7 linked regions of the Canis lupus familiaris genome follow. The protein of the gene in region 5 interacts with the protein of the main gene of each other region in a biochemical or structural test. Links are inferred from orthologs where the notes say so. Each region holds a gene or a part of one and is shown on either strand. Other genes may lie near its edges. The genes, in order: UBE2G1, JUNB, NUMB, LRRK1, ITCH, NDFIP1 and MLANA.

Region 1 (3,500 bases), on a different chromosome or scaffold from region 5:
GTGGGGTGGTGCCTGAGTGGCTTGGCTGGTTAGGTGGTCTGCCTTCCCAGGGTCCTGGGAACCAGTTGGGCATTAGGCTCCCTCTCCCGCTGCCCCTCCCCCTGCTTGTGTGCTCTCTCACTCACTCTGTCAAATAAATAATAAATGAGACCTTCAACAACAAAAAAACATCAAATGTACATAGGCTGGGTACTGATCCCCGATTTCAGGCATCTCCTGGGGGGCGGGGGTCTCAGAACATCCTCGTCACCAAGAAGAGGGACTACCGCACAGAAATGAAAAATCGTAAATGCCACACAACATGAAATTCTGAAGGTCAAGAACCTGAAGGGAACAGGGAAAACAGAAAAAGAAAGAAAAGGTCACCCACAAAAGCAAGAAAGTCAGCCATGCATCAGCTTCCTCAGCAGCAGCAATAACACGAAAAGTCCAAATCTGTATAAAGCTGCACTGCACCCCTCCCCAGAATTCTACAAACGCTCCCTTAAATACAACGCAGGATAAAAACCTGTCCAGGGATCCCTGGGTGGCGCAGTGGTTTGGCGCCTGCCTTTGGCCCAGGGCGCGATCCTGGAGACCTGGGATCGAATCCCACATCAGGCTCCTGGTGCATGGAGCCTGCTTCTCCCTCTGCCTATGTCTCTGCCTCTCTCTCTCTCTCTGTGACTATCATAAATAAAAAATTAAAAAAAAAAAAAAAAAAAAAACCTGTCCAGACAAGTAAGGACCCAGGTCTTAGTTCCCACAGAGCCTTTCTGAAATGTGTGGGGCAACAGGACGACGGCCACCAAGGAGGACAAGCCGGACCCAGGAAACAGCAGAGCAGGTAGCAGAAGTCCCAGGACGGCAGCCACGCCCTGTCAGAGCCCAAGGGTGGAGGGGCCAGGAGAGGGTCTCCAGAGAGGATGCGGGTTTCCCGGAACAGGCACCACTGACCAGGAAGTCAGAAGAGCAAACAATAGAACCACAGGAACACACGATGAGGTGTCCAACCAAGAGGGAAAAGCCAACATAAGAGGTAAACGAAACCATGTGCAAGCCAGGACCATCTGTACAGGAGGCAACTAACTGATGAAGTCAGAAGAAGCAGGACAGATGTCGCACAGCCTGTGGTGCACAGATCAGAGTCTCATCTGCAATAGTTCAGCTTTGCACAAAGCTACTCCCATCTTCATGGAAACGTCCATCATCAGGCAAGGATAGCCCCTTCTCAGGAGGCCCCATGGTTCCAGACTCTGCTCTCCTGGGGAGTTTCTAACTTTTCCATTTTCATACTTTCAGGTATTTGCTCTTATTTTATCCTTAATTTTAACCTTTATGAAGATTAAGATACAGCTTGTCAGTTCTGATCTGATTACAGAAAACCAAGCATGCATCAAAGTAAACAAGAATTAGTTCTCTCTCAAAATGACTCCACAGGATTTCTTCTCCCTTCCCACTGCTTCCAGTGCTCGGACTGGCGCTCAGCTAAGTAAAAAGCTAGGAGGCTTTTCTGCCAGTTTTCATTTCAATTTGTTCACTAAGTTCAAAAATTCAAAGGCATAATTTGAAAAGGGTTCATCGATGTAGTTCTTCTACATATAATACAGGCGATCTCACCCAGGTTATTCTATCAGTTTGAAGTAACCCAAGAAGAAAGGCGAATTTAACCTCCTGGCTTTGACAGATGCTCATAAAAGTCCTAAGAATAAGAATTAGAATGAAAGGCTTTTCAAAGGAGAACAGAAGGCTGAGGAAAGAGACTATCCCAGAGCACAAGAGACTAATAAAACATGAACACAAAGAAAATGTAGATTCCCAGGTTCTGGATTTAAAAAAGGCAGGTATGAAGAACAACATTGGAGAAGTGTGACTATGGACCATGTGTGCGTGAGCAGGACTGTACGCTGACAGACCTGTGCTGTGGGAACGAGGAGGTTGCCTCTGTTCTCAGGAGAGGCTGGTGATGTGTTACCAGTGGAGAGTCACGACATCTGTAAAGACTTCTCAAACACTTTAGGGAAAAAAAATGTAAAATCTCCACAATTGGTGAATCTAGGTGAAGAGTGTTTACAGCTATGAAAGATAGTGCCCTTATTCTTAAAAGATGCAGGTTCAAGTATTTAGGGGTAAAGCTTACTTAACGTCTATAACCTATTTTTGTACAGATTCCAGAGAGACATACATGTGTGTGAATAGATCTGCGCGCATGCGCGCGCGCGCGCGCGCACACACACACACACACACACTCACACAGATACTGCAGCCCTCATTGAGGGTGGTTAAAGGGAAGGGAACATTGTGCATGACCAGCTTACCGCAGCATCAACATTAGCAGGTGAGTCTCCGTTAGGGTCTGCCAGCATCGAAATGACACTAATCATGATGGTTTCCACAGTGTGAATTGGGAGCCAGCGTTCCTCTGGCTTTTCATAACCATATTTGTCTTCCCCAGGCTCATGAAGAATGGAAATGCATACATCACCATTTTTATCAACTGCAAAATTAAAGTGTGAGAGTCTGTTTAAAGTATTTACAATACCGTGGTTAAACATAGAAGCAGCTATTTTAGACAGGGCCCTGGCTCCCACAGGTCTGTACAAAACATTCAATATATACAGAAGATGATTTCCAAGATGGAACCTGTTCACCTTTAGGAAGACCACAGATTGTACCCAGCAGGCCCCACTTGTCAGAGCCAACACACACACAAGCAATCTCTTCCGTGTGCAGAGCCCCAAGGTGCCTATACATGCATGGATTTACACACAGGAAATACAAAATGACTCTGCTCTTCGTATCAAGTACAGATCCAAATGCCAGAGCTGAGTCTCTATGTGAGGATTTCCCAGATTCCCCACCAACTTACTGATCTAAAGTGGTGACAGTCAACCATCCAGAGACTTCCCTAAAGAAAATATGAGAAGTAACCTCATCATGTAGTTTTTAAATCACATAAAGGCAAAATCACATTTTCAGGGACAGGAGCATACTCAAATTCAGAAAAGGAACATGTCACATTGCCGATGAAAATTCATCAACGTGAATGACATTCACGAAGCATCTTTTCTGTAAAACTAGGATTTAAAATCCAAGTCACAAACTAATTGTTGATCACAACAAAGGTGAACTTCGAACCCACCAGCTCATTTATATCACACAAATATACCAAAAATTCATGACTAATCTTTTATGGTGAAGTTTTCTCCACTGCAAAATAAAAAAGAAGAAGACGAAAATAAAGTATACTCATTTGGAAAATGTTAGAAAAGACAGGAAAGTTTAAGAATTTTTGGTGTAAGAAGCTTTTCAATCAAATGTCCAAATCCCATAAATAATCAGTGGCAATATGTCTAATTCATCCCTGTTTTTGCACCTGAGGTCTAACAGACTTGTGACAGGTACCACCCTAACAGTTACATTCCATGTCCTGACTTGGGCCCCTGCCTTATTGGTAGAAACTTGGGGGAAGCTGAGCCCGAGTCTGTTCATACCGCTTGTGCCCCAACAAATGCTTCCCC
Region 2 (3,706 bases), on a different chromosome or scaffold from region 5:
ACCGCCTGCCTCCGCGGTCGCCTGCGGGTGCTGCGGGCTGAACCATTGCTGGGAGAGGGAGACTAGAGGCCTATGCGGCTGGGCGTGTTCTGCGCACCCTGGCCTCCGCCAGGGTCGCACGTCCACGTTCCTCTTCTGAGGCGCAGAACCCAACCGGACCCAGGGCGGGGCGCACGGTCCCGTAGGATCCGAGTGACGGAGGCAGGGCCGGGCTCCTTCCCCCGGGGCTGTTGCCACACTTCCTGCCGCGGCGCTCTTTCCCCAGCCTGTTTCTAAGGAAGGAGTGGGGTTGGGCGACCGCGCCCGGGCCGTCGGGGTAGGTTCAGCACCCTGAGTCGGCACGGTGTCGGTCAAGCCCCGGGTCACGGGGGGAGGGCTTGGAGATGGGAGCAAAGTATACTGGCGCCTAGAAAGCACCCACAAGAAGGGGTGGCCAGTCATGGAAGATCCAGCAGTCCAAATCCCCAGGATCCTCAAAAACCCCTCCTCTCATGTCTCAGCTGGAGACCCTGTGTCATTATCATCTCGGCTCTGAAAGTGTGTCCGGACTCTTAACTCTCCTTCATCAGGGCTTTGCAGATGACCCCAGTGACTCCCAACCTCTGACAGGGTCCCCCCCCCCATAATTTCCCAGACTCGGTATACCCCGGAGCCCTCACTTTCTACATAACTAGATTCCCCTTATGGAGGCCCTCAGTCTCTCCCATGGACTTCAGGACCCCTACTCATTTTTTGCATAATGGATCCTCCATCCCCTCCTTTTGCCCTTTTGATCCCCCCCTCACTTTTCCTGGGTTCAGTCCCTCTATTAAAATTCAAGTCCTTTAACCCCTCTGTACTCAGGACCCCCACACATTACCTTACCCCTCTCTCATTTACTCTGGTTGATCCTCCTGTCTCACCTTTGTGGGGTCTCCCTGTGTATATAATCAGCCCTTCAACCCCCCTCGAATACTCCGAGTCCCTCAGGCCTTTTGTGTACACCCTGGAGACCACCCCCGCCCTCCGCCCCAACACGCACACGCGCACGCACGCACACACACACACACACACACACACTTGCTTTGTAACAGTTCCTCGCATCCAGGGGAATCAGTGCCTTCCCTGGAGTCCCTCCCCGTGTATCTCGGACCAGCACCCCTTCCTTCGCGCACCCCGGGGTCCCCTGAGCCCCTCCCCCTGCAGCCGCGCCGAGCCACCCAGCCCGTGGCCGCTGTTTACAAGGACACGCGCTTCCTGACAGTGACGCGAGCCGCCTCCTCCCCTTCCCCACGCTGGAGGAGGGGGGCGCGGGGGCCCGGCTCGCGCGACGGCCAATCGGAGCGCACTTCCGTAGCTGACAATAGCCGTATAAAGGCGTGTGGCTCAGCCTGAGCTGCCGGGACCTTGAGCGCGGCCAGGCCAGCACCGGAGTCAGCAGGGAGCGGGGAGCAGGGGGAAGCGACACCAGGAAAGCGAGCGCGCCGGACAGGGGCCGAAGGGCTCGAGAAGCCGCACGGAGCTTCCGCGCACCGCCGCCGGCTGGCCTCTCCCGGCCGGTGCCAGCTCCTGGGAACGCGCGTCCAGATACCCAGTCCAGCCACCGTCGCGGACAGGGCGCCGCTCGCCGCAGCGAGGCCCGGGGCGGCCCCGCAGGGACCCCCCCAGACCGCCTGGGCCGCCCGGATGTGCACTAAAATGGAACAGCCCTTCTACCACGACGACTCATACGCAGCGGCGGGATACGGCCGGGCTCCGGGCGGCCTTTCTCTACACGACTACAAACTCCTGAAACCCAGCCTGGCGCTCAACCTGGCCGACCCCTACCGAAGTCTCAAAGCCCCCGGGGCGCGGGGCCCGGGACCAGAGGGCAGCGGTGGCAGCAGCTACTTTTCCGGCCAGGGTTCGGACACAGGCGCGTCGCTCAAGCTTGCCTCATCGGAGCTGGAGCGCCTGATCGTCCCCAACAGCAACGGAGTGATCACGACGACACCCACGCCCCCGGGACAGTACTTTTACCCCCGCGGGGGAGGCAGCGGCGGAGGTGCGGGGGGCGCCGGGGGCGGTGTCACCGAGGAGCAGGAGGGCTTCGCAGACGGCTTTGTCAAAGCGCTGGACGACCTGCACAAGATGAACCACGTGACGCCCCCCAACGTGTCCCTGGGCGCCAGCTCGGGGCCCCCGGCTGGGCCCGGGGGCGTCTACGCCGGCCCGGAGCCACCTCCAGTCTACACCAACCTCAACAGCTATTCCCCAGCCTCTGCGCCCTCTGGAGGCGCCGGGGCCGCCGTCGGGACTGGGAGCTCGTACCCGACGGCCACCATCAGCTACCTCCCACACGCGCCACCCTTCGCTGGCGGCCACCCGGCGCAACTGGGCCTGGGCCGAGGAGCCTCCACCTTCAAGGAGGAACCGCAGACCGTGCCTGAGGCGCGCAGCCGCGACGCCACGCCACCGGTGTCCCCCATCAATATGGAAGACCAGGAGCGCATCAAAGTGGAGCGCAAGAGGCTGCGGAACCGGCTGGCGGCCACCAAGTGCCGGAAGCGGAAGCTGGAGCGCATCGCGCGCCTGGAGGACAAGGTGAAGACACTCAAGGCCGAGAACGCGGGGCTGTCGAGCACTGCTGGGCTCCTCCGGGAGCAGGTGGCCCAGCTCAAACAGAAGGTCATGACCCACGTCAGCAACGGCTGCCAGCTGCTGCTCGGGGTCAAGGGACACGCCTTCTGAACGCCCCCCCATACGGACATTCCCCCAGTCTGGACGACTGGGCGCACGCCTCCCAAGGGGCGAGGGGGCAGGCGGTGGGCACCGGCCCCCGGGGCACCGCAAACCACACTGGACTCCTGCCCGCCCGCTCTGCGTCCAGTCCTTCCACTTCGACGTTTACAAGCCCCCCTTTCGCGTTTTTTTGTATGTTTTTTTTTTTTCTGCTGGAAACAGACTCGATTCATATTGAATATAATATATTTGTGTATTTAACAGGGAGGGGAGGAGGGGGCGATCGCGGCGGAGCTGGCCCCGCCGCCCGGTACTCAAGCCCGCGGGGACACTGGGGAAGGGACCCCCGCCCCCTGCCCTCCCCCCTCTGCATCGTACTGTGGATAAGAAACACGCACTCGGTCCCTAAAGAGTTTATTTTAAGATGTGTTTGTGTGTGTGTGTGTTTGTTGTTCCGACTTTTTATTGAATCTATTTAAGTAAAAAAAAAAATGGTTCTTTATTAATTTGTTGTCTTTTTTTCCAAGCCGGGCGGGAGGAGGGAGGAGAATAGTGGGCTGCCCCCACCCCACTCCTGCTTGTGACTCGCGCCAGTGTCCGTGTCCTCCTCGCCAGCTCTACCTAAGCATCTTGCAGCCCTAGTGCGGGCGGCGGACCCTTCTCTGGCCCCCTCCTCCCCGGGGTTGGAAGGGCCAGGGCGGGTACGCGGTCCAGCCGCCCATCACCAGGGGGCAGGAGGCCTGGGGCGAGACGCGCAGTGCGCGGGCGCAGCCCCGCCCAGCTGCGCGCGCTGGGGCTTTCCCCGCTGACGCAGCGGAAGCGCTGCCCCTACATGGGCCGATTCTGTCCAGTGACGCGCCGGCGGTCTCCGGGCAGATTCCGGGAATCCCCTCCCCCGCTCTGCCGGGCAGGGCTGCGGCGCCGGGAAGGGGGCCGGGATTTTCCCAGGCAGGCGGCTGCCGGGGCCCGGAAAGCCCCAGGCCTGGGTCCAGAGCGTCCGCGGTGG
Region 3 (4,070 bases), on a different chromosome or scaffold from region 5:
CCTGTGTCTCTGCCCCTCTCTCTCTCTCTGAATAAATAAATAATAAAAATAAAAAATAAAAAAATAAAAGCCAAATACAGACACATTAAAAAAAATAAATGTGACTTAGAAATTTAAAGACAAATCAGGCCAGCGTTTTGTTGTTTAAGAACAGGAAAAGTGGGTGGAAATGAAAAAGAAAACCAAAATCTAACGATGGATGTATTTCTAGGAGCGCAAGAGTTTTTATAGCTACACCAGATTTCTCAAAAATGCATACTGTGACTTGTACCCAAATAAATAAAAAATGCAATCATTTATTCTTGTGCATTGTGCCAATGTAAGAAAAGGGCTGCAATTCATTCAATGGTCCTAATTTAGATTGCTAGGAAGAGGAGAGGTTGGGAGAAAAAAAAAAAAAAAAAAGACAAGCTTTTCAAGTATCTGACACACATCTAGTAGGGCTATTTAAGAACTGCTGAACATAAAAATCAAGTTGGGAGAAGGTGGGGGTAACCAAATTCTCATTTCCAGAGCATCACAAGGCTAAATGCGGCTGGTTTAGTTCAAACTTGCTGATGGCTGCTTGGGTCACTTGGCAGGAGCCAGCCAGGGGTGAGTCTGGAAGCTAGAGAACGCTCAACATGCCACTTCAGTTTATTAACGACGTTACAATTGCCACAGAAGTGTCTGATTCCTGCTAAATAAATGTTCGTGCTTTGCCCTTTAGCATGGAGACTTCTGGAAAGAACTTCAAGGAAACTGGGTGCAAATTGGGACTTTGAGAAGAGATTTTTATCTGTACAAGTGCTTTTCTCCAAGGAGTTGGAAAACACTCCTTAAATACAATCTCTGATGCTGGTATTTTCTAAGTACTACCCTATAAACTAGCAGGGATCAATTTCTCCTTACAGGGAGGGAACTGGAGAAAGGGATGGGTACATAGAGTGAACTCTACAACAAAGAGTTAACCCTTCCCGGGTAACCTCGGCCGTGAGCGTCTGCCCCTTCCTTGCTTTCTACTGCGCAACCAAACTGTACCCGAGCTTGAACCAACCAAAGCCATCGCATCCCTTGCCAGTTGACTTAACAGACACTTTTGGCAGCCTATCATGACTTCGAACTGCCCAGCCATCAGCCAATAACAACTAAACCTTGGTACTGGGCGCTCCGGGTCCGGACGGGGGCTAATACCGGGTTCAGGAAAAGGGGCGGTGAGGAAGCTATGACGGACAGCTGGAAAGAGCCAATCAGAGCAGAAAGCCGCCGCCCCGCTATCCAATGGAGAGACAGAAAGTATGAAACGGGGCGGGCCTGTTGTCATGGGGGAGGTGGTGGCGCTTGGTGGCTACTGGCGGCCGAGGTAGAGGCAGTGGCGCTGGAGTTGGTTGGGGGGCAGCGGCAGGTGAGTGCCGGTAACGCGGGCCTGAGGTCTGGGTGGGGGCCGTCTCGGGCCGGAAACTCCAGTTCGGCGCTCCCGAGGCGGAGGCCGAGAGGAAGGGGGCCTGCACTGTGGGCCGGGTCGGGCCGGGGCCAGGGCGGCGGCGGCGAGTTCGCGCTGACTGGGCTGGTGGGAGAATGGCCCGGTTCCCGGCGGCGGAGTTCGCGTTGGCAAGATAGGCTGGGGCCGGACCCAAGCGGTTCTGGCCGGCAGGTCCCTCGGGACGTCCCGCTGCTTGGGTCTGGGGCACTGACCGGCGGCCGCTGTGGGAGCGGTAAGCCCCTTGGGAGACGGGAGCGGACGGGGTCCCGGGGGGGAGGGGCGGGGGGCGACCCGGGGTGACCGGCCACGACCTGGTCCGAAGACCGGGTGAGCCCGGGAATGCACACTCAGGGCAGCTTGGGTGCCAGGGAGCAGAGAAACCCGGGAAACCCAAGAGCGGCCCGAGCGGAGAGAGCTGGGGGGCCGGGAAACTGGGAGTGGCCCGGGTCCGAGGGAGAAGGGAGTCAGACCGAGGGCGGCCGGGGTTCGGGAGGACCCTGAGGGACGAGTGCGAGCGGGGGCGTCGACGAGAGGCGAGAGGCCGGGGGTGGGGGTGGGGGTGGGGCCGGGGACCCTCCTGAGAGAGGCGGCCGTCCGAGGTGGAGGGCTCCGGGTTTCTGGAGGGTGGGACCTGTGGAGACCTTGGACAGCTGGAGTGGAGCGGAGCGCCCTGCCCCCACCGCTGGGCTGGGCTGGGCGACCCGAGACTGGAACCGGGAGCTCCTGGGTCCGAGGACCCGCGCGCCACCGGGGAGCCTCGAGGAGTAGGTCGGATTGGAGACTAGGGTGAGGGGTCTGCCGGGGAGTGGAAGTTGTCTCAGTTGGAGAGGAGTCAAGCAAAATGACACAGGGGTGGGCGGGGAGAAGCAGTTTCCTCGTAGGAAGCGCGTAGTAGATATAGGGCGTAGTAGGAGGGAGTGAGAAAGTTGTTCAGGGTGAGAGTGGTGGTCTCGTGGGGACCGGCCGGAGCAGCGGCTACGAGAAACTAACAGTGTGGCCGTTAGTGTGTTCTCAGGACTGCAGAAATAGAAGGCACCTCGCCTTCATAAAACTAAGATGTGAGAGAAAAAGCTCCCAAAAGTTGGGTTAAGTAACTTCTTGCATTCCAGTGCTTTAGGGAAAATTTTTTTTTTTTTTTTTTTTAGGATGACACCAATGATATTAGAAAATGAGGACATTGACAGGATGGAGAGTTTGAAAGAGAAAGGGGGGATAAGTAGCTCAAACTAAGGGAATAGGCAGGACAGGGGACTTGATCAAAAAGATGGACGTCATGAAAGGATGGACGTACCCTGGCCAAATTAGAAACTTGAATTCTGGTTCCGCCACTTAGCTTGGACAATTTAACCTCTCTGTACAAGTTTCCTCCTCTGTGTAATAGGTATAATAATAGTCCCTATTTCGTAGGGTTGTTTTTTTTCCACGTGTGTTAATATTTGTAGAACTTTTAGGATAGCGATTGGCACAGAGTGAGCACTGTGCTTACTGACTGCATTGTTAAATAGAGAGCATAAAGACCTGGGTTCTTTTATGCCGTGGTTCTCAAACTTCAGCTTGCACCACAATCACCTGGAGGGCTTGGTAAACTACAGACTGCTGGCGGCATCCAGAGTTTCTGATTCAGTAAGTCTGGGGTGGATCCTGAGAATTTGTATTTATCTCAGGTGATGCTTATGTTGGTCAGAGGCTCACACTTTAAAAACCACTTGCTTCAATGAAAACAATAATAACGTAGCAATCTTAAAATATCTGTCTACCCTGCTAGAGACAAGTAGAGGCACATTGCAAAAATGATCCGAATATAAGGGATACCCATACCCACTGTGAAGCCTATGTTTTTCAGATTGTGGATCGTGATTTTTTCGTAATTTATAAAATCAATTTACTGGGTTACTGCCACATTGAAAATAGGATGAAATAGAATGGAATTGCACTTGGTAAGGAAAAGCATTGTTTGGGAAATGTTTCTCATAAGTGTGTGTACTAGATCACTATGTAAAATGTATTTCTTACAGTCAGAAGAATTTGAAAAACTGTTTTAAGCCAGGCAGTGCAACAGAAATAATCCTTCAGTAAGGGTTTCTAGGACTGGCTTTATTATTTATATCTTTATTTTTCTTCTGGTAATTTGGTGGTGATACGTTCTATTAAATTTCTTGAGCTTCTGATTTGGTTTCTCATGTTTGCCTTATCACATATTGTGTTGTGCCTCTTTTTAGATATTGAGAATCTTTGGTATGAGGACTTAAGGAAATCTGAGGCAGAGGGGATGAAATTGAGTGGTGTTTCTCAGATGTGGTACACTTTTGTTTCACTTGTGCCCTCTTGTTTACCCTTTCTGTAAGGCACTGTCTGTAAAAAATACCCCTAAGTATACTAGACATGTTGTCTGTAAACAACTAATGCTGAAATGGACTGGTTTGAGAACAGTTCATGTATAGAAAATAAGCAGAAGCCGAATAAGACACATTTCAAAGGAGAAAAGCAGAGGAGTGTTTTTTTTTTTTTTTTTTTTAAAGAGAGTGAAAGTTATTTAAAGCTTCTCCTGGCCTTACACTAATAGAAAACATATCAAAGCATTTTTAAGGGAATCAGATATACTTGTGTA
Region 4 (3,984 bases), on a different chromosome or scaffold from region 5:
TCGGTAGCAATCACATTGCTGCTTTTTGAATACTGGAATTAGGACCAAAATATTGAGGACAGGATTGCAAAACCGCACCCACCCTTTTGCAAAGGGCGTTCCGTGGCCGGCGAGCTAAAGGCGCAGCCTCTTGGGAGCAAAGCGAAGCTGCCCCGTGGTGCCCTTGCCAAGGGGCCACTGCTCAGAGTGTCCTTGAGGTCGTGCGGGGGCCCTGCGTCTGCCTGGCGTTTGTGAAATGGCAGTGAGGGTGGTGGCGAGTCTCTGACTTGCGCTAAAGTCCCAGGAGCCTTCCAGTCGCAGCGCAGGAGAGGTCTAGCCTAGGCTGCGGGTCCTGCCGGGCTGTGGAACCATCTGCTTCTTACTGGGCCGGCTTGTCTTCCTGTGGTTGGCACGCGGAGCCAGGTCTGATGCCTGCTGCACGTCCCTGCGTCTCTGTGATGCCGTCGGATAATGGTCTCCGTCGGGTGATGAACATACATATCGGGTCGAGACATAATAAATGGCCAACATTCCAGCATGTTTTATCTACTCCCCGCAGAATTTAAAATGATTCACCCAACAGTGACATCTTTCTATATTCAGCCCCAATTAAATTCTTGTGACGGAAGGGGCACCGTTTGCCAAACTCTAAAGCTAGAAAATACCTATTTCTATCCTGCCCTGCACAGAGGTGTAGGTCAGAGTACAGTCACTGCGAGGCCCTGCCTAACCCATACAAGTCCGAGGTTAGCCCTTGGGTTTTGCTCCGGAGCCCGGGGACGGTGGACGACGCTGCGTTGAGCAGAGAACCGACCAATCTTGCGGCTGCGCCCGCCCCGACAGGAGAAGGCAGGGCCCCCAGACCCGGCGGGGTCCGCGCGCTGCGAGGGCTCACGGGCCTCCGGGGCGCGGCGTCGGGGCACCTCCGCGTTCCGGCTGGGGAAACTGAGGCGCCCGCGTGCAGCTCGCCGGCAGCGCCGCGCCAGCCCCCCCTCGCCCGCGCTCGCTCCCCGCCAGCCCGCGGGCCGCAGGATTGAGGAAGTGCGTCTGGGCCCGGCCCGGCCCCCGCGCGCGCGGCCGGAGGCGCAGGGGGCGGAGGGCAGGGGACGGCCAGGCCTCGGTCCGCGCGCCCAGCCCCGCGTCCCCGGCGCCCCGGCCCCGGCCCCGGCCCCGGCCCACGCCCCGCCGCCCCGGCCCGCCCCCGCCGCCGCCGCCGCCGCAGGTAAGCGCCCGTCCGCCCGCGCCGCGCCGCGCCCCGCCCCGCCCGGGACCCCCGCAGCCCCCTCGGCGCCCGGACGGCCGCGTGCTCCGCCCAGGTGGCCCGGGGAGGGGGGCACCGAGGGCGCGGGGGACCCCAGGCCCCGGCCCCGGCCCCGGCCCCGGCCCCGCGGAGTGGGGGAGGCGGCGGGCCCCGGAGGGCCACCCCGAAACCCCGCGCGGGCCGCGGCCGGGAGAAGGCGCGAGAAGCACCAGTGAGGCCGAGCCGCGGCCGGGCGACCACGGTCTCCTCCGCCCCTGGAGAAGGCTCCTTGCTTCGGGCCGGCGCGGGCCGGGTGTGAGCCGGGTGTGAGCCGGGTGTGAGCGCGAGCGCGCAGCGTGCGGGCGAGTGTGCGTGCGTGTGTGCCGGGGAGCAGCGCCCGCACCTCCCGCCGGGCTGGGGCTGGGGCTGGGGCTGGGGCTGGGGCTGGGGCTGGGGCTGGCCGGGCTCCTGCGCTCCCGCCGCTGCGGGGGAATCCGCCGTCTCCGCCACCCTCCTCCGCAGACACGCGACAGGTCCGCGAAGGGGCCAAGAGGGGAGCCCGGTTAGGTGGGGGGCCGGGGGAGGTGGCGAGGGAGAGCGTGGGGACCTCTGGCCCGCTCAACCTGCCCCTGCCCGTTTGGAGGCCTGGAAGCTTTCTCCCGGAACACATCAGCAGGGGTCGGAGAGGCAGAGAAAACAGCAGCCTGTGGCGAAGGCTTCAGCAAGGCTCTCAGTGAATACACTCTTTCTAGAGGGTGCCGGCCCCTCAACTTGGTAACAAAGTACCCAGACATTAAAGGGACAACTAGAAGAGGTGCCATTTGGGACGACATTAACATGAAATGCTTTTTGTGATTTGACTCTAATTATCTTTGCTTCCGTCCCTGAAGAATTAAAAAAAAAAAATTAAAAACAAAAATCTCACATCTGATTTGTCCCTAAAGGAGGTTTTGGGGTCAGGGAATGAGCCCATAGTCAGCTCACTTGTTCGCCTTTCCTCTATCCCATACCCTCATCCCTTGAATTCTGTGAACCATCAGCAAGTTCTGTTGGGCTTACCTATGTGTCTGGCTGAGTCCAACCTTTCTTTCTCATTGTCTCCACCTTAGTCCAAGGTACCAGCATTTGTTTCCTGCGTGATTACAATCCTCCCCTCTCCAATTCTTTATGTGACAGCCAGAGAGTCTGTGCGTGTGTTTTTTTTTAATAGGTAAATCAGAATGTGTCAATCCTCTGCTTAGAACCCTGCCATAATTTCTCCTTGTGATTGGCATGAAACCCAGGACACCTCCTTCCCCTCAGTTGATATGGAGTCTGGCATCATCAACCACCTGGCCATTGCTCATGCCACCCTCTACCCCACCCCACCCCACCAGCCACCATGGTCCAGCTGGCTCTTCAGCATATGGCCTCTACATGCTGACCCCTGACTCCTCATACTGCCAGCCACCCCCTGTAAGCCCAGCCTCTTTCTCACATCCGCCCCCCCCCCACCCTTGCTGTCTTTTGCAGTCTCCACTGGTATTATGGTCCCTCTTCATCTATTTGCTCTCTTCTTTAATTGCCTGGCACTCTCCTGGAGCTCCAGGGGTCAGAGACCATTCCTAGGCACCAGCATGGCTCACTGCTGCGTCTTCACGCCCAGAACTGTCTGAGAGGTGCCCAGTACACCCTGGCATACAGATTGAATGGCGAATGGACAGTCTTAACTTGTTTGTGGTTTCAGACTCATGAAGGGCTTCTGTTCCCAGACCTTTGGGTGTTCATCTAGGACTGAGATCTACACATTTCTCTGGTCCGCAGCCCCTTGATATTTTGAAGTCCATGAATCCATTACACACATTCTGTAGGCAAGCCGGTATGTGGTCAGAGGAGGCTAGTAGTGCCAAAGGATTGTCAAGGACTATGGGCCAACCATCTCTACCATGCTTTCACTAAAAAGAATTACTGGATTATCTGAGCTGACGTGCTCATTTGCAAGTGTCTTCTAGCTCTTTGGTACTGACAATCCTTTCCAAGCCTCCTGAAAAGACAAGTAAGCAGGTCCAGGGTCTCCTCTATTTCTCCTCAGTCAGAAATTTTGTGGCAAGCACTTACTTAACTGTGCCTTCCCACCAGCTTTAAGTTTCATGAACACATGGAGTTCACTCCTCATAGAAAGGGCCCAATAAAAACATTTGCGGGATGAATGTCAGCTTCCCCTTTTCTCTTTTTGATTAAGCATTCAGTTTTATTCATTACTGCACGTATAAGGAGCAATGAAAAATTGGTGAGGTTTTAAAAAGTATTAAAATTATTACAGAAAACCTCTTGAAGTCCTCTTAAGGCTGTATGCACCACAATGAAAGGAAGACATGTAACTTACAACCATGATTTGTTGCATTGGTCTGAGCCCAAAAGAAGCAGGAAGAAGCAAAGATCCGTTTGAGGGCAAAGATTGAGCAAAAGTTGAGTTACCTCATTTTAAACCTTCTACCTTAGAGTCTAAGCCAACATACAAATTACAGTTGAAAAACTGTGCCAGTGGTAAAATCCTCCATCGGTAAAGAGATTTTCAAAAGGAAACTGAAAATGAAAAGGGGAACAAAATGTGCTGGCCGAGGGTTGGCCTAAAATATTTTAAAGATTTAAAAAAAAAAAAAAAACTTAAAAGCACTCTATGGTAAGACACTTCTGTTTTCAGAAGGCAAGTCTACTAGCATTTGGATTTTTTGAGGTGGTACTGGGTAGATGTGGTAGCTGATTTTAAGACGTTTGAAAGCAGA
Region 5 (4,117 bases):
ATTATTTACTGCTTAGGATTTTTTTTTTTATAAGCAAACAGAAAACTAATAGGTTGGACTAGTCTAATTATGGCATATACCTGGCATATATATCACCTAGGAGATGACAGTGTCCACAGGAAGTATCAGGCACTTATCAATCATAACTTACTTTCCCAGAGAGCACATATGACCAAAATCCTTCTCAATACAGTGCTTTTGGCAGCTACTTCAAAGCAGAATTGATTAACCAAAATATATTTGCCACTGTGGACTAGATTATCTCTTCCAAAATTCTAATACCAAGTTCCTGAGTACAAGAGAAAAACACTTCCAACAGGCTTAGATCAGTAGTGTTGAAAGTCATAAATTTCAGTGTAATCTCCAAGTTCTCCTCCAAATGCAACCAATTTAGTTCTAATTTTCCAAAAGTACTAATGAACAATATATTTTGATACCATTAATATATATAACCTGGTAATATTGTTCAGATTTGCTAATGGGTTCTTTTTACAGAACAAGAGCCTTTTTACCCAGTCTGGCCCCAAAAAGTCTCATCCAAAAATATGGCAACAATATTGCACTAGTAAAGAACTAAATCTAATCCCTTGAGCATCCCCACAGCCTCTCTCCAACATTAAGTCCTTTCACCTCTCACCTAGACCTCTGCAATAGCCACTCTTCCACCCTTTCACTCTCATCACCAGAGCCATTTTTCTACAACACACGTCACTCATATCACTTCCCTGTCTAAATTCTGAATCTACTAACATAAAACTCCAGTTTTTAGCATTATAACTTTTCAGTTACCTCCTTTTACCTTTCTGACCTCACATCCTACAATGCTCTCCTTCCCCATCCCACTCCCTGTTCCCTGAACCCTTTTTCTCCCACTATCTTCTGCATTTACATACAGCACTGTCCTTCCCTTACCCCATCCTTATCACATTCCCACTCATCATCTAAGGCCAAACTTAGGACAGGAGCAGGTCCTGCCACCTTCAACAGCCAAACCCCAGACAGAACTGGCCAATTCTGTCTCAAGCTTCTCAGTAGATTCACAGTATTGTTTGCCTCAGTGGTTCCCAAAACCAAGAGAGCTGCCTGAGGCATGTTTTAAAAATAAATTCTTCAGGGCAAAAGCAGACCTACTAAATTGATGTCAGAAAAGGAGACCCTGGAATTTCTACTTTTAAAAAGCTCCCCTAACTATTCTAATGTGCAATTTGAGGAACTACTGGTTTGTCTATCTTTTTCAATAGGCGAACAGATGGGTTTTTTTTGTTTTTTGTTTTTTGTTTTTGTTTTGTTTTGTTTTAGAATTCAGAAATGATTCCCTCTGGAATACTGTGAAAACGTATTCTGCACTCATTTTTTATTTCATGTCCTTTTTGACTTGATTCATATACTGACCATGAAGGAATTCCTTCTGGACTCACACCCAAAAACCTTACATTCTGTTGATAACTGTACCCCGAGTAAATCTATGAATAAATACATAGTGCAGGCTTCCAGCATAGCTGCCATGAGAACTTTATTTCAGCTGAGAAATCCTTAGCTGATTTTGAGGGTTAGTATCCGCTGCCTTTACATACTTCCCTAAAATCGATTAAGAAAAGATGCGGGAGACCCCCCAACTAAGTGCAATGATAAGTGACTGGCTCCAGTGCCTCAATAATTTCCAAAGGGCAAAAAAATCCCACTTTTCCTTCCCCAACCCTCACTCCCAAAAAAGTATACTGAAGCTGTAGAATTATGGCAGAAAATGTAACAAGACTAACATGCGCATATAACCGAGAAAAGCTGAGTTGTTATTGGGGAATCGTGAATTTCGGGTAGTTTGCACGTTCACCTTGTTACATCTTTAACTTTAGGCCCAACGTCCACCTTGAGCGCACAGACCCTGTGTTTCTCTGTAAGCCGTGGCCCGAGACTGTGTCTGAAAACTTGAGTTCCCCCACTAAGTCGTGTCCTCATCACGTTCTCACCCTTAGAATACGTTCACGACTACTTTTTTTTCTTTTCTCTGCCAAAGAAAAGGGCACTCAAGAGGGAGGGCAGTGACAGCTCCACGTCTGCAAAACTCGGCGCCGGGAGGTGCCCGCGGGGCCGCGGCAGCAGGCGCGGAAAAGGGCGCCTGGGCCGGGACCACCACGATGGGGGACAATGGAGGGAGGAGGGGAGTGTAAGAAAGAGAAGGCAGCCGCTACGCTGGGCCTGCCTCGTGACTGGGGGCTCCAAAAAGTCTCGGGAAGGCCAGCCGAGTGGCAGGTGGGCCCGGCCGCCGCCCCTCACAGGGCCACGTCGGCCGCTCCGGCCGCTGCCGCCGGGCCCCGCGCGTAGGCCGGGCCGCGGGAGAGTGGCCCCCGGGCGGGGCTGAGGGGCGCGGGGCCGGCCCCAGCTGGCGCCCAACGCGGCCCAGCCCTCTCACAACTTGGCGCCCGCGAGGCGAGGGGCTCCCCACGCCTCGGTCAAAAAGTGGCTCCTCGGCGTCTCCGGCCAACCCACCCCTCGGCCACTAGCCCGAGCTCCCCGCGCCCCCCACGGGCACCGGCTGTGAGAGAGGAGAGAGCAGTCGCGGCTCTAGGGTCCTCTGCCCGCGCGCCGCACTCCTTCACCCCTGGTTCTCCTCCGACACTCTCTTGCGGGCTCCCCCTCCTACCCAGAAGCGCCCCCAGTCCGCCCGCGAATGTTTACCGGGACTCGGGGCGGCGGCGACTCTTCAGTCCCTCGACTAAGATGGCAGCCGGTCCCGAGCCCAGACCACAGCGACTAGAGCGAGTTGGCGGCCAACGCGCAGGCGCCTCCTGCTCGGCAGGGATGTGGACTACAAGCCCCAGAAAGCCTTGCGCGCTGACCGGGAGAATTGGCCGGAGCTGGGCAGCGCAGCTACACCGGAGTTTACTCGCCCTTAGTAGGAGGGACTATGGGATTGCTCGCAGCCACTCTAGGCTTTTTTTTTTTTTTTTTTTTTTTTAAAGTATGCCCACTTCCCCAGAACCTCTAAAGACTGTAGCTGTGGTTCCCAAAAGCTATTGTGCATCAGAAACACCTGAAGGGCTTGTTGACATTTAGGAGAGCCCCACCCCCAGAGTTTCCGTTTCAGCAGATCTGGGATGAGATCTAGTAATTTGCATTTCTAACTCGGCTGTGCTTCTGGTGGGGGAATCACACTTTCAGAAACACTGGATTATAGTTTAGTCCTTAAGAAAGTAACGCTGGGGAGTTAAATTGATGGGGTTCAAATCCACCTTTTAACAAAGTACGCTTAAGGATGATGAGAATAGCCTACATGTAAGTGGTGCCAATCTGGCAGGTATTGGAAGAGCTGATCAATAAGCTTCTTTAATCCTCACAACAAATCTATAAGGAAACTACCTCCATTATCCTCACTTTACAGATGGGTAAACCAAGTCACAAGCTGGATAGGAACCCAGGCAGTTTGACTTCAGAGTCCATCCTCTTCTTTATGGGTTGTTTGTGAGAATTAATAGGCTGTGCAAGTAAATTCAGAGGCCCAGATAAGGGCTTCCTAATTAATGACCTTAGCTATTATTGTTTAGCCTGTTTCCTCCTTATGAACATATTTTACCATCTGGAAAGTCACTTGCATTTTTCAAAGTATGTTCAAATCTCAATTCTCAATTCTCAAATTGCATTCCTGCAATATGACTTAAGAGAGCTTATTAATGATGCAGACTTCTGGATCCTAACCCATTCAGAATCTCCAAGGCAGTGGTTCTCAAACTTTAGTGCCCATCAGAATCTCCTAAAGAAGAGCACCTGAGTGGCTTAGTGGTTGCGCATCTACCTTTCGCTCAGGCTGTGATCCCAGGGTCTTGGGATGGAATTCCACATTAGGCTCCCCACAGGGATCCTGTTTGTCTCTCTGCTATGTCTCTGCATCTCTCTGTGTGTCTCTCATGAATAAATAAATATAATCTTTAAAAAAGAGAGAGAAAAAATCTCCTGAAGGATTCATTAAACTGGGCAGTCTGGGTGGCTCAGCAGCTCAGCAGTTTAGGGCCGCCTTCAACCCAGGGCCTGATCCTGGAGACGTGGGATCCAGTCCCATGTTGGGCTCCCTGCGTGAGGCCTGCTTCTCCCTCTGCCTGTGTCTCTGCCTCTGTCTCTCTGT
Region 6 (4,123 bases), on a different chromosome or scaffold from region 5:
TAAATAAAAATTTATACTCAGGAAAAGAGATATAGATGTACACAAAAGAAACTTCAGTGAATAAAAAAATTATGAACACACTTAGTGGCCAACAATAGGCAACTGACTTGAACTATGTACAACCAGTTACATGCAATGCAGACATGAAAATACTACCCTATTTTATACATCTATATGCCTCTGTACATACATGTGAACAAATACATGTACATGCAAACTTGTGAATGCACATGTGTCTGAGAACATGACACATATGGGCACAGTGGATGTATAAATGTATACATGTGCACATATGCACAAAATGTGTACAAGTAAAACCAGGGGGCTCGTGGAATGGTACATGTGTACAAAGATGTGCCTGTATATATATCCATGGATACATGAGAAAATATATATGCACATATATATATGCTAATGCACATGCCTATATTTGGAACATGAGCCTGTGTTTTAAGTAGGTGAGTGTGTATTTATCCTTGTAATCACTACTTAGAGGCTGTGACCTTGAGCAAGTTAATGAGCCTCTTGGAGTCTTGACTTTGTCATCTATACAATAATACCAAACCTTGCCTCATGGGAGTTCCATGAGGATTAGGGAAATAATGGATGTAAAGTCCTCAGTACCGTGATTGGCACATAGTAAATGCTCAGTCAATATTAGCTTTCCTTATCTGTACACATGTATACTGATTTATATTTATGTATATTTACATACCTATAAGTCCACAAAGATACACATCAAAATACTAATTTTGGTTACCTATGGGTGATAAATTTTTACTGTGGGTTTTTTTTTTAGGGGGGGTAGCTTTCATATTTTGCAATTTTTCTAGGAAGATTATTTTTTTCATGCTGTTTTTTGGAGGTTATTTCTTCAACATAATGATTTTCAAAAATAAAATAAAGATGACCTGTCCCTGACACACCTCAATTCTGCATATTTAAAGCTGTTAAATATAAATATTACACCAAGGAATACATAGTTTTGATACTCCACCAAATTTTTTGTATTCCAGCAATATGTCAGCATTACCTAATAGCTCAAGAAGATGGCAGTACAAAGAAAAGCCACAGCTTTTTCCTTGTTTGCCTTTTACAAAACAGGATGAAAAGAATGAATTAGATCACAGTGTGGGGTACAAGTGATTTTTGAACACTCTGGTGACAGTTAAGTGACATCTGTCATTTGTATTTTATTAAAGCAGGGAGAAACCCTCACCCAAGGTCATACAAAAAAAAAAAAAAAAAAAGCATGTGCCAGACCACAGGCTGTGAGAGATCTGAGGACTAAACTGCATTGCCACGGTCTGGGCATGTTTATGAAACCAAGAAGCTAAATTCTTAACCAGTCATTTCAGAAGTCCGGCTGGAGGAGGGAGGAAATTACTACACAGGGCTGATGACAGCAAAACAAACTGGTAACTGGCTGCACTGAGTTAATCTAGATGTTTTAATCAGACTGGTTTTCGTTATTTCTGAAATACAAAGCTGTAGATCATCAATGATAGGGCATCTAATTTCATAAAAGCACGACTGATATTTGTATGCAAATTATACCAAGAAACATCTGATAGGACAAAACGCAAACAGTTATCAGCGGTTCCAATCAACACCAGTTCCTACCTGGCTTAATTCCCACAATTAAGATGTGTTAGGTTAAACAGCACTAAAAATCCTGCAGATGGTCTCTGAATTTCCGAGGGGAGCCCAGCTAGTAGAACAAGCAGCTCTTTTCCCTAGGGCCTCAATTTATAAATTATAACCGGGATAATACTCCAATCAATCCCTATACATTTCCTCCCCAGCCATGCTATTAAATCTCCTTAAACGTCATTTCCAAGCTTTTAAAACACACACCCAGGCACACGCCCTGCAGCCTTCAGCGAGCTCACGACGTTCCGGGGCACTGCCCCAGCTAAACAGCGCCTTTCCCAGACCTACTGCAAACTGCAGACTTGCCTCTCGTCTCATTTTTGACTTTTGTCTTAAAACAGAGGCGCGGGGGAGGGGAGGAGGGGGATGGGTTTCGACAAACAGACTAGGCTCTGAAACCCCCCGAGCAATCGCATCTCGTCACGGGGAGCTGTCGGCCGCAGTGGCAGCGATTTTAATCTTTTCTCTCCACCCAGTTTCCTTTTCCATCTCACGCTTCATCGCCTTCTTTCTCTTCTTCCCCATGACATCAAACCAGAGGTGCAGAAAGGGAAACTGCATGCCCCCGCGTGGGCGCCGCCCCGAGGGTCGCGGGCTCCGACTCGGCGGCCCGCCCGCCGCGAGAAGTGCGGGGCGACGCCGCGGGCCGGAGGTTTTCCGCCGCCCGGGTGCCGCCCCGGGTCGCGGAGGGCCGGGCCGGGCCGGGCCGGGCCGGGCCCGCGGCGGCCTCGACTCCGAGCCCGCGGCCCGCCCAGGCCCGCCAAGCCGCGGCGTCGCGTCGGCCACAGGCCGGGCCGGAGACGCCAGAAGTGGCCGGCGGGCAGGGGGGCGGGCCGGGGGCGGCGGGGGCCGGGGGGCCGGGGGCCGGGGGCCGGGCCGGACTCGGCGCTGCTCACCTGCTGGTACCGGCTGCCGCAGGCCGGCTCCACCGCCGCCAGCGCCGCCAACGCCAACGCCATGGCGCAGCCGGCCGCAGAGGAGGAAGGCGGGCGAGCGGGCGAGCGAGCTCTAGGGGCGCGGGCGCTGCGGCCTGGGAGCGCGGGGAGGCCGAGGGGACGCGCCTCGCGTGGGTCTCGGTGGCCGCCGCCGCTTCCAGGCAAGCCGCCCTCCTCGGGTTGTGAGCGCCGCCGCCGCCGAGGCTCCGACGCGGCCCCTGGGGAGGAGGCGGGGACGCCGCCGACGACGCTGCGCCGCCGCCCCGCCCCGCCCCGCCCCGCCCCCGCCGCGCGCCCGGGCCCGGCCTCGGCCTCGCCCCGCCGAGCCGCCGCCCGGGGTGGGGTCCGGCCGGCGTCCCGCGCGCCGAGCTGCGGCCCGAGCGAGCCCCGCGCCTTCCCCGAGCGCTCTCCTCTAGCCCTCCCCACACCGCGACGTGGGGCCGCGGCCCGGCGGAGGAGGCCGTCGGCGCCCGGGGAGGCTGACACCCCGGCACGGCCGCGACCGGGGCTCCCTGGGACCGCTGCACCCGCTCGGTTCTCGTCCAAGCCCCGGCTTGTCTGCCATCGTCCTAGATCAGGGACTGCCAACCGGTCCGGTGGCGGTGGAAAGCAGAAGAAATTCATGTTTCATTGTGCATAAATGAAGTCTTACCGGAGCACAGCCGTTCGTTCCCATGTTGGGTACGGCCAGCAATCCCTAAAATACTTACTCTCTGACCCATTACAGAAGAGTTTCCTGACACTACACCCTCCAGAACTCCTTTAGTAAAGATCTCAAACAAGCACTACTTAGGATGGATGATGATAACAGCATTCTCCTTTTTGTGCAGCCCTTTAGTATTCTAACAGCCTCATCTGTGGATAAGACATGTTATTTCCATGTATGCATGCATGTAAATAAATCCACCCGGCCTGGAGCCCAACTCGGCTTGAACTCACAACCCTGAGATCAAGATCGCAGCTGAAATCAGGAGTTGGGCTCTTAACCCACCGAGCCACCGAGGAGCCAGGACATGATACTTTTCTGAACCAAAAGCTCTCTGAGGAGGTGACATGGAAGGCCAGACTCCAAAGATTCAGCCCTGCTGAGAGCTGAGAACACGTGCAAAGGCTGTGAGGGAGCCACAGGTTGCTTTGCGGAAGGACTGGAAGAGGCAGGCAGGACTGCCCTAGGGGAGATACAATAACCAATGTTTCCCAAAAGAGGAAATTAAGCTTGAAGAAATTAAATATCTTGCCCAAGAACACAGAGCTAGGGAGGGGAAACCTGGAATGTAAACCAATGAAACCAGCATTGTTAACTATTATCGTGCAACTCAATTATAAACTCTGTGAGGAGGAAAGTATGTCTCTCTTAAATATTTTTATATATCCCGCAGCATCCAGCGCAGCATGGCTATACAGCAGGCATGTGAGGTCTGCTGTTTCCTTCTGTCATACCCAGCCACCTGGAATTGCTTCTACCCACATGTCCAACCCAGAAAAACCTGAGTTTTTGAAGCTTGTTGCAATTCCTCTTTCTTCTTGATTGCCTT
Region 7 (4,238 bases), on a different chromosome or scaffold from region 5:
GATTCTGCTTGTGTATTCACTTGAAAGATTGCTTTTCTTGGTTTGGGATGAGGTACATTTGTTGTCCCTACACTGTTTGCAGAGGTTTACATATATTTACAAAAACAATTTAATGCAGAATTGGGTTTAGTAGCTGTAATTTTGAACATAGGTCTCACCCCTACATCATTCACCTGAGATGATCAGTGAGTTCAACTATAATTTCTTTTTTACAATAAAGAATGAAAATTTACACAGAAAATGCCCCAATAGAAAGGGTTCGTGTGGCAAATGCCCCACTCTGTTCTTCCACTTCTCTCCTATTGTTTTAAACAGGCTCATTAATATAATTCTATTATCAGATCTTTGAAAATCATAAGAATAAGAGAGAAGAAAAATGCACAATGACATTGAGAGAAGAAAAATCGCTGTTGGTTTTCAACCAGTACTCTTTAATCATGACCTCTGCAGTTCATGAGCTTTTTGTCTATTTGTTTGTATTATGGTTTTAAACTTTGTATTATATATATTCCATATTATGTATATTCTGTGTATGATACACATACATACATATTTAAGCCCTATTCATGAGACTTGAATGAAGGAGAAGCAGAAATTTATTTTAGCGGGAGGGAAACAAATAGACAAAGTCAGGTTATGGGAGTCCTTATCTTGGTTTGGGCAGGGTGAACATGGACAAGCCCAGGCATTTCCTTTGTTAGAAGGTGGACTTGGAGGATGCTGTGCTCAGCTACATACTCATATGGGATCATAACCGTCTATTTGACCACAGATTGACATCAAATTAATACGTTTGGAGAGAAATAACTCCTTTTATTAACCAGTCTTCTGCCAGTGAAAGTAAGGAATGAATACAAATGCCTTTTGTGGAGGTGTGTGGATGACTAAGTTGTTAAGCATCTGACTCTTGATTTCAGCTCAGGTCATGATCTCAGGGTGGTGAGATGAAGCCTCACATGCAGCATGGAGCCTGCTTAAAATTCTCGCTCTCCCTCTCCCTCTCTCCTCTCACCTCTCTAAAAAAATAAAAATAATAAAAATAATAAAAATAATAAAATGTCATCTTTAAAGAATGTATTTTGTTTCTCTATAAGCTTATGGTATAGAGTAAATTGATAGGAAATGAAGAGCATTCCTCCCCCCCAAATAATAACTCAATTTCAAAGTTTTTGCTTTTGTTTGTAGTTTCTTCTTTGAACTCAATTTTCAGTTGGTGGAAGCAGTTAGAAACCTGAGCAATTTCCACTGGATATCAATGAAATAAGCAGGTACAAATTCTCTCACAGAGAGAAACCAGAGGGTCCCAGCTATCATTAATGTTAACCTGGAGAGAGTTTTTTGTAGATATTTATGGAATGCTGTGCGAGGATGTTCTGAATGTGTTAAATGATGCCTGTTTGACTTTGCTATTAGGTGTTCTGTGGCCTTATCCCACAAGATGCCAAGAGAAGAGGCTCACTTCATCCTTGGTTATCCCAAGAAGGGGCATAACCACTCCTACATCACAGCTGAAGAGTAAGTTCAAAATTGGATCCAGTGGGGTTTCCAGTTTGCCATTTGCAGACAGCCTGCTGATTTCCACAAGCGTATGTCTGTCAGTAAATCTCTCTAGTGTTCATTTCTCCAGAGATTAAAACCCTGTCAATGAGGTGATGGGACCCCATGTCCTACAAGGGGCTCACTCAAGCTTTTCTGAGGCCATACAGGCTAGGAGATAGGAATGATAAGAAGTTGGATCTTGGCATTTTTGGGGGGTCTGTATTCTTGGTTATTTGGCTTTCACTGTAGGTTCCCAGCTGGAAAACATCTGTCTGGGAGCAAGGTGACTCTTTCCTCAAGCCTTGTTCTGTCTCCTCCACTCGGGCTCCTGGAGGTGGCCTGTGGATAGAACAAAGGTGAGTTGCCAAAGAGCTAGTAAGAATGAAGGGCAGGTATGTGCAACTGCACTCTGACCCTGCTTATTATTTCTGCATCATAGTTTTATTCTAAGGAAAGGTGTTTAAAAGTATGAATTAATTTAAAATAAATATTTATAGGATTCAGCATTTCTAAGTGCTAAGCAATGTATAGTCAGTCTAAGATGCTATACTTATCTGTGAAAAAATTTTACAGTGTAGTGGAGAATTGGGCTCAAGAATAATTTTGGCAAGCGTAAGTGCTGTAGTGGTAGGACAGGCTGCTGGGACACATTCTGCATGTACTAGAGTACACAAGAGTATGGTGCTCTAGATTGGGTTTCACCTTCTGAATGAAGACTCCAACAGGACAAATAAGGTACCGGGTTTTTATTTGGACCATGTCTTAAGTGATCTAGTCAGAAATTCCTGCAAATTTGCTCTCCCTTGGGGAAGGAACTATTGAAAAATCTTTACTAGAGTGAACTAGCAAGGGCAAGTAAGATGTGGAACTCATTAAAGTCACTGAGGAAGAGTTTAGGCTGGGAGCATTTCCTCAGAAGATGCCAGTGGGATTTTCTAACATCCCTGCATGGTCAGTTGGGAATGGGGAGATTTTCTGAAAAAATATCCCAAGAGTAAAAAATGTATTTTTGGGGGTATGTTTAGAGTACACATGATATTAAGTAGGATGTTGTTTCAGTTTCTGTATGATAATTCAACAAGCTGTATCTCTGTAAAACTTTAGTAAGAAGTGAGAGGGCATGCGTCACTCATGGAGGTTTTGTAAAATGCAGTTTCCCAGGTATTTCTGCCAGAGAGGCTGATTTGGTGGGGCTCAGAGTTTGCACTTTAACATCCACCTCAGGTGACTCTGCTACAGGAGGCATTTGGTGACACTCTAGAGAGTCCTGCCCAGCTGCAAACTGCATTATTTTGGTGTGTCTGGCATATCCTGATGTTTTCTAATCTATCAATCACTGAGTGTGTGTGTGTGAATGCAATGTGACTGTGCATAAGGAACTGGAACAGAGCTCTGTCTGTGTTAGGATATCCAAGGGGATAACCACAGCCTTGGTGGGTGAAATTGGAGCACAAGCATGCCAGGAATTGAATCAGCTGCCTTCAGTCACAAGAGCCCACTGAATGCTCCTTGTGACAGCTTCATATCAGGAAAGGGCGATATGGCAGGAAAGGCACTGGTTGGGTATCTTAGGCCAGTCACTGTGAATTCTGGTTCTGCCACTTACCACTTGTGCATCATTGGGCATTTTACCAGTTTAAAATTATGGGGATACCCGCTGTGACATGAACATCGTATCTACCTCACAGGATTATTGTGATGATGAAATAAAAGCCTATATGTGGGGTGCTTGGCACAATGCTTGGCACAAATCAGTGCTCAATGAAGGACAGAGTAGCTGCTAAGGTGGTGGTGATGTTGATGAGTCTCGGTAGGTCTCAGCTTCATGATCCACAAAGTGGGTGGACTGACCTGCATAATTAGGTCAGAGTTTTTATCCAGCACTGTCACCCAACTGGTTTAGAGATGGACAGGATAGACTTGATGCCTCAGCTGCCTTGAGAAGGAGGTGGTCAGGTAGTTGGTACAGGACAAAGATCTCTCCAGGAGAACCCTCAGCTATATTTTGATTCACCCTCAGCTGCTCAATCTCTTATATCACCCAGCTCTGCAGAACCCTTTTTTAGCAAGTCACAGCACTTTCCACTCTGATCATGTGATGTAGAAAATCAGGCAGATGTTAGCTAATTGTTATACAGGGAAAGCACAGCTTTCAGACCTGTTTCCAGGGCCGTTGCAGTAACTAATCTTTCCCAGGGGCCACTGGACACAGGGCTCAAAAGGCTTGTTTAGATGCCCAGATTGCTCCTGCTGCTGAGGAGCAGAACAGTTTCAGTGATGCTACAACTTTGCTGTAGGTTCAGCTCAGACACTTCTCCCCATGATTGAGTCCCAATGCTCTATCTTTTAATAATCCATGCCTGGCTAGTTGGGAGGTGCTTACCTAATATCTGCAATCTCTGACTTCAAATGTCAGCTGGGGTCTCTGACATGGCAGCCAAGCAGGCTGGAGAGATCAGGCCTCTTGTCTCAGCATCCCCAGAGTTCTATCTCTAGCTCCATTCTGAAATGTCTTTTCCAGATCACTTAGGTGATAACAGAGTAAGGAGCAAGGACTGACCCAACTGGTTTGGTCCTTGGTCATCCTGAACTGGATTCCTTGAGCAAGCAGAGGCCAGATAGGAGCTTGCCTAGCTGAATGTAAACATGAGTCAGATGTCCTGGGATACCCTAGCTGGGCTGGGCTCTGGTATCCCCAT

The links.
Region 1: the proteins of ITCH (region 5) and UBE2G1 form a complex in vitro, tested with the Homo sapiens proteins (2 studies listed by BioGRID). The link is inferred for Canis lupus familiaris from reciprocal best matches to the Homo sapiens genes ITCH and UBE2G1.
Region 2: the proteins of ITCH (region 5) and JUNB form a complex in vitro, tested with the Homo sapiens proteins (2 studies listed by BioGRID, with this or other methods). The link is inferred for Canis lupus familiaris from reciprocal best matches to the Homo sapiens genes ITCH and JUNB.
Region 3: the proteins of ITCH (region 5) and NUMB form a complex in vitro, tested with the Homo sapiens proteins (3 studies listed by BioGRID). The link is inferred for Canis lupus familiaris from reciprocal best matches to the Homo sapiens genes ITCH and NUMB.
Region 4: the proteins of ITCH (region 5) and LRRK1 form a complex in vitro, tested with the Homo sapiens proteins (2 studies listed by BioGRID and IntAct, with this or other methods). The link is inferred for Canis lupus familiaris from reciprocal best matches to the Homo sapiens genes ITCH and LRRK1.
Region 6: the proteins of ITCH (region 5) and NDFIP1 form a complex in vitro, tested with the Homo sapiens proteins (2 studies listed by BioGRID). The link is inferred for Canis lupus familiaris from reciprocal best matches to the Homo sapiens genes ITCH and NDFIP1.
Region 7: the proteins of ITCH (region 5) and MLANA form a complex in vitro, tested with the Homo sapiens proteins (2 studies listed by BioGRID and IntAct, with this or other methods). The link is inferred for Canis lupus familiaris from reciprocal best matches to the Homo sapiens genes ITCH and MLANA.

The regions. Positions count from the first base shown.
Region 1 is NC_049226.1:30,544,610-30,548,109, forward strand, and holds part of UBE2G1 (ubiquitin-conjugating enzyme E2 G1), read right to left. Parts: intron 2,477-3,500; coding exon 2,298-2,476; intron 1-2,297. UniProt on the Homo sapiens protein: Accepts ubiquitin from the E1 complex and catalyzes its covalent attachment to other proteins. In vitro catalyzes 'Lys-48'-, as well as 'Lys-63'-linked polyubiquitination. May be involved in degradation of muscle-specific proteins.
Region 2 is NC_049241.1:49,756,909-49,760,614, reverse strand, and holds JUNB (transcription factor jun-B), read left to right. Parts: upstream 1-1,369; 5' UTR 1,370-1,665; coding exon 1,666-2,709; 3' UTR 2,710-3,206; downstream 3,207-3,706. UniProt on the Homo sapiens protein: Transcription factor involved in regulating gene activity following the primary growth factor response. Binds to the DNA sequence 5'-TGA[GC]TCA-3'.
Region 3 is NC_049229.1:47,083,581-47,087,650, reverse strand, and holds the start of NUMB (protein numb homolog), read left to right. Parts: upstream 1-1,270; 5' UTR 1,271-1,384; intron 1,385-1,549; exon of another isoform or gene 1,550-1,694; intron 1,695-4,070. UniProt on the Homo sapiens protein: Regulates clathrin-mediated receptor endocytosis. Plays a role in the process of neurogenesis.
Region 4 is NC_049224.1:40,487,969-40,491,952, reverse strand, and holds the start of LRRK1 (leucine-rich repeat serine/threonine-protein kinase 1), read left to right. Parts: upstream 1-1,184; 5' UTR 1,185-1,201; intron 1,202-3,984.
Region 5 is NC_049245.1:23,988,833-23,992,949, reverse strand, and holds the start of ITCH (E3 ubiquitin-protein ligase Itchy homolog), read right to left. Parts: upstream 2,801-4,117; 5' UTR 2,677-2,800; intron 1-2,676. UniProt on the Homo sapiens protein: Acts as an Acts as an E3 ubiquitin-protein ligase which accepts ubiquitin from an E2 ubiquitin-conjugating enzyme in the form of a thioester and then directly transfers the ubiquitin to targeted substrates.
Region 6 is NC_049223.1:36,160,820-36,164,942, reverse strand, and holds the start of NDFIP1 (NEDD4 family-interacting protein 1), read right to left. Parts: upstream 2,801-4,123; 5' UTR 2,613-2,800; coding exon 2,550-2,612; intron 1-2,549. UniProt on the Homo sapiens protein: Activates HECT domain-containing E3 ubiquitin-protein ligases, including NEDD4 and ITCH, and consequently modulates the stability of their targets. As a result, controls many cellular processes.
Region 7 is NC_049232.1:26,953,216-26,957,453, forward strand, and holds the start of MLANA (melanoma antigen recognized by T-cells 1), read left to right. Parts: upstream 1-1,438; coding exon 1,439-1,515; intron 1,516-4,238. UniProt on the Homo sapiens protein: Involved in melanosome biogenesis by ensuring the stability of GPR143. Plays a vital role in the expression, stability, trafficking, and processing of melanocyte protein PMEL, which is critical to the formation of stage II melanosomes.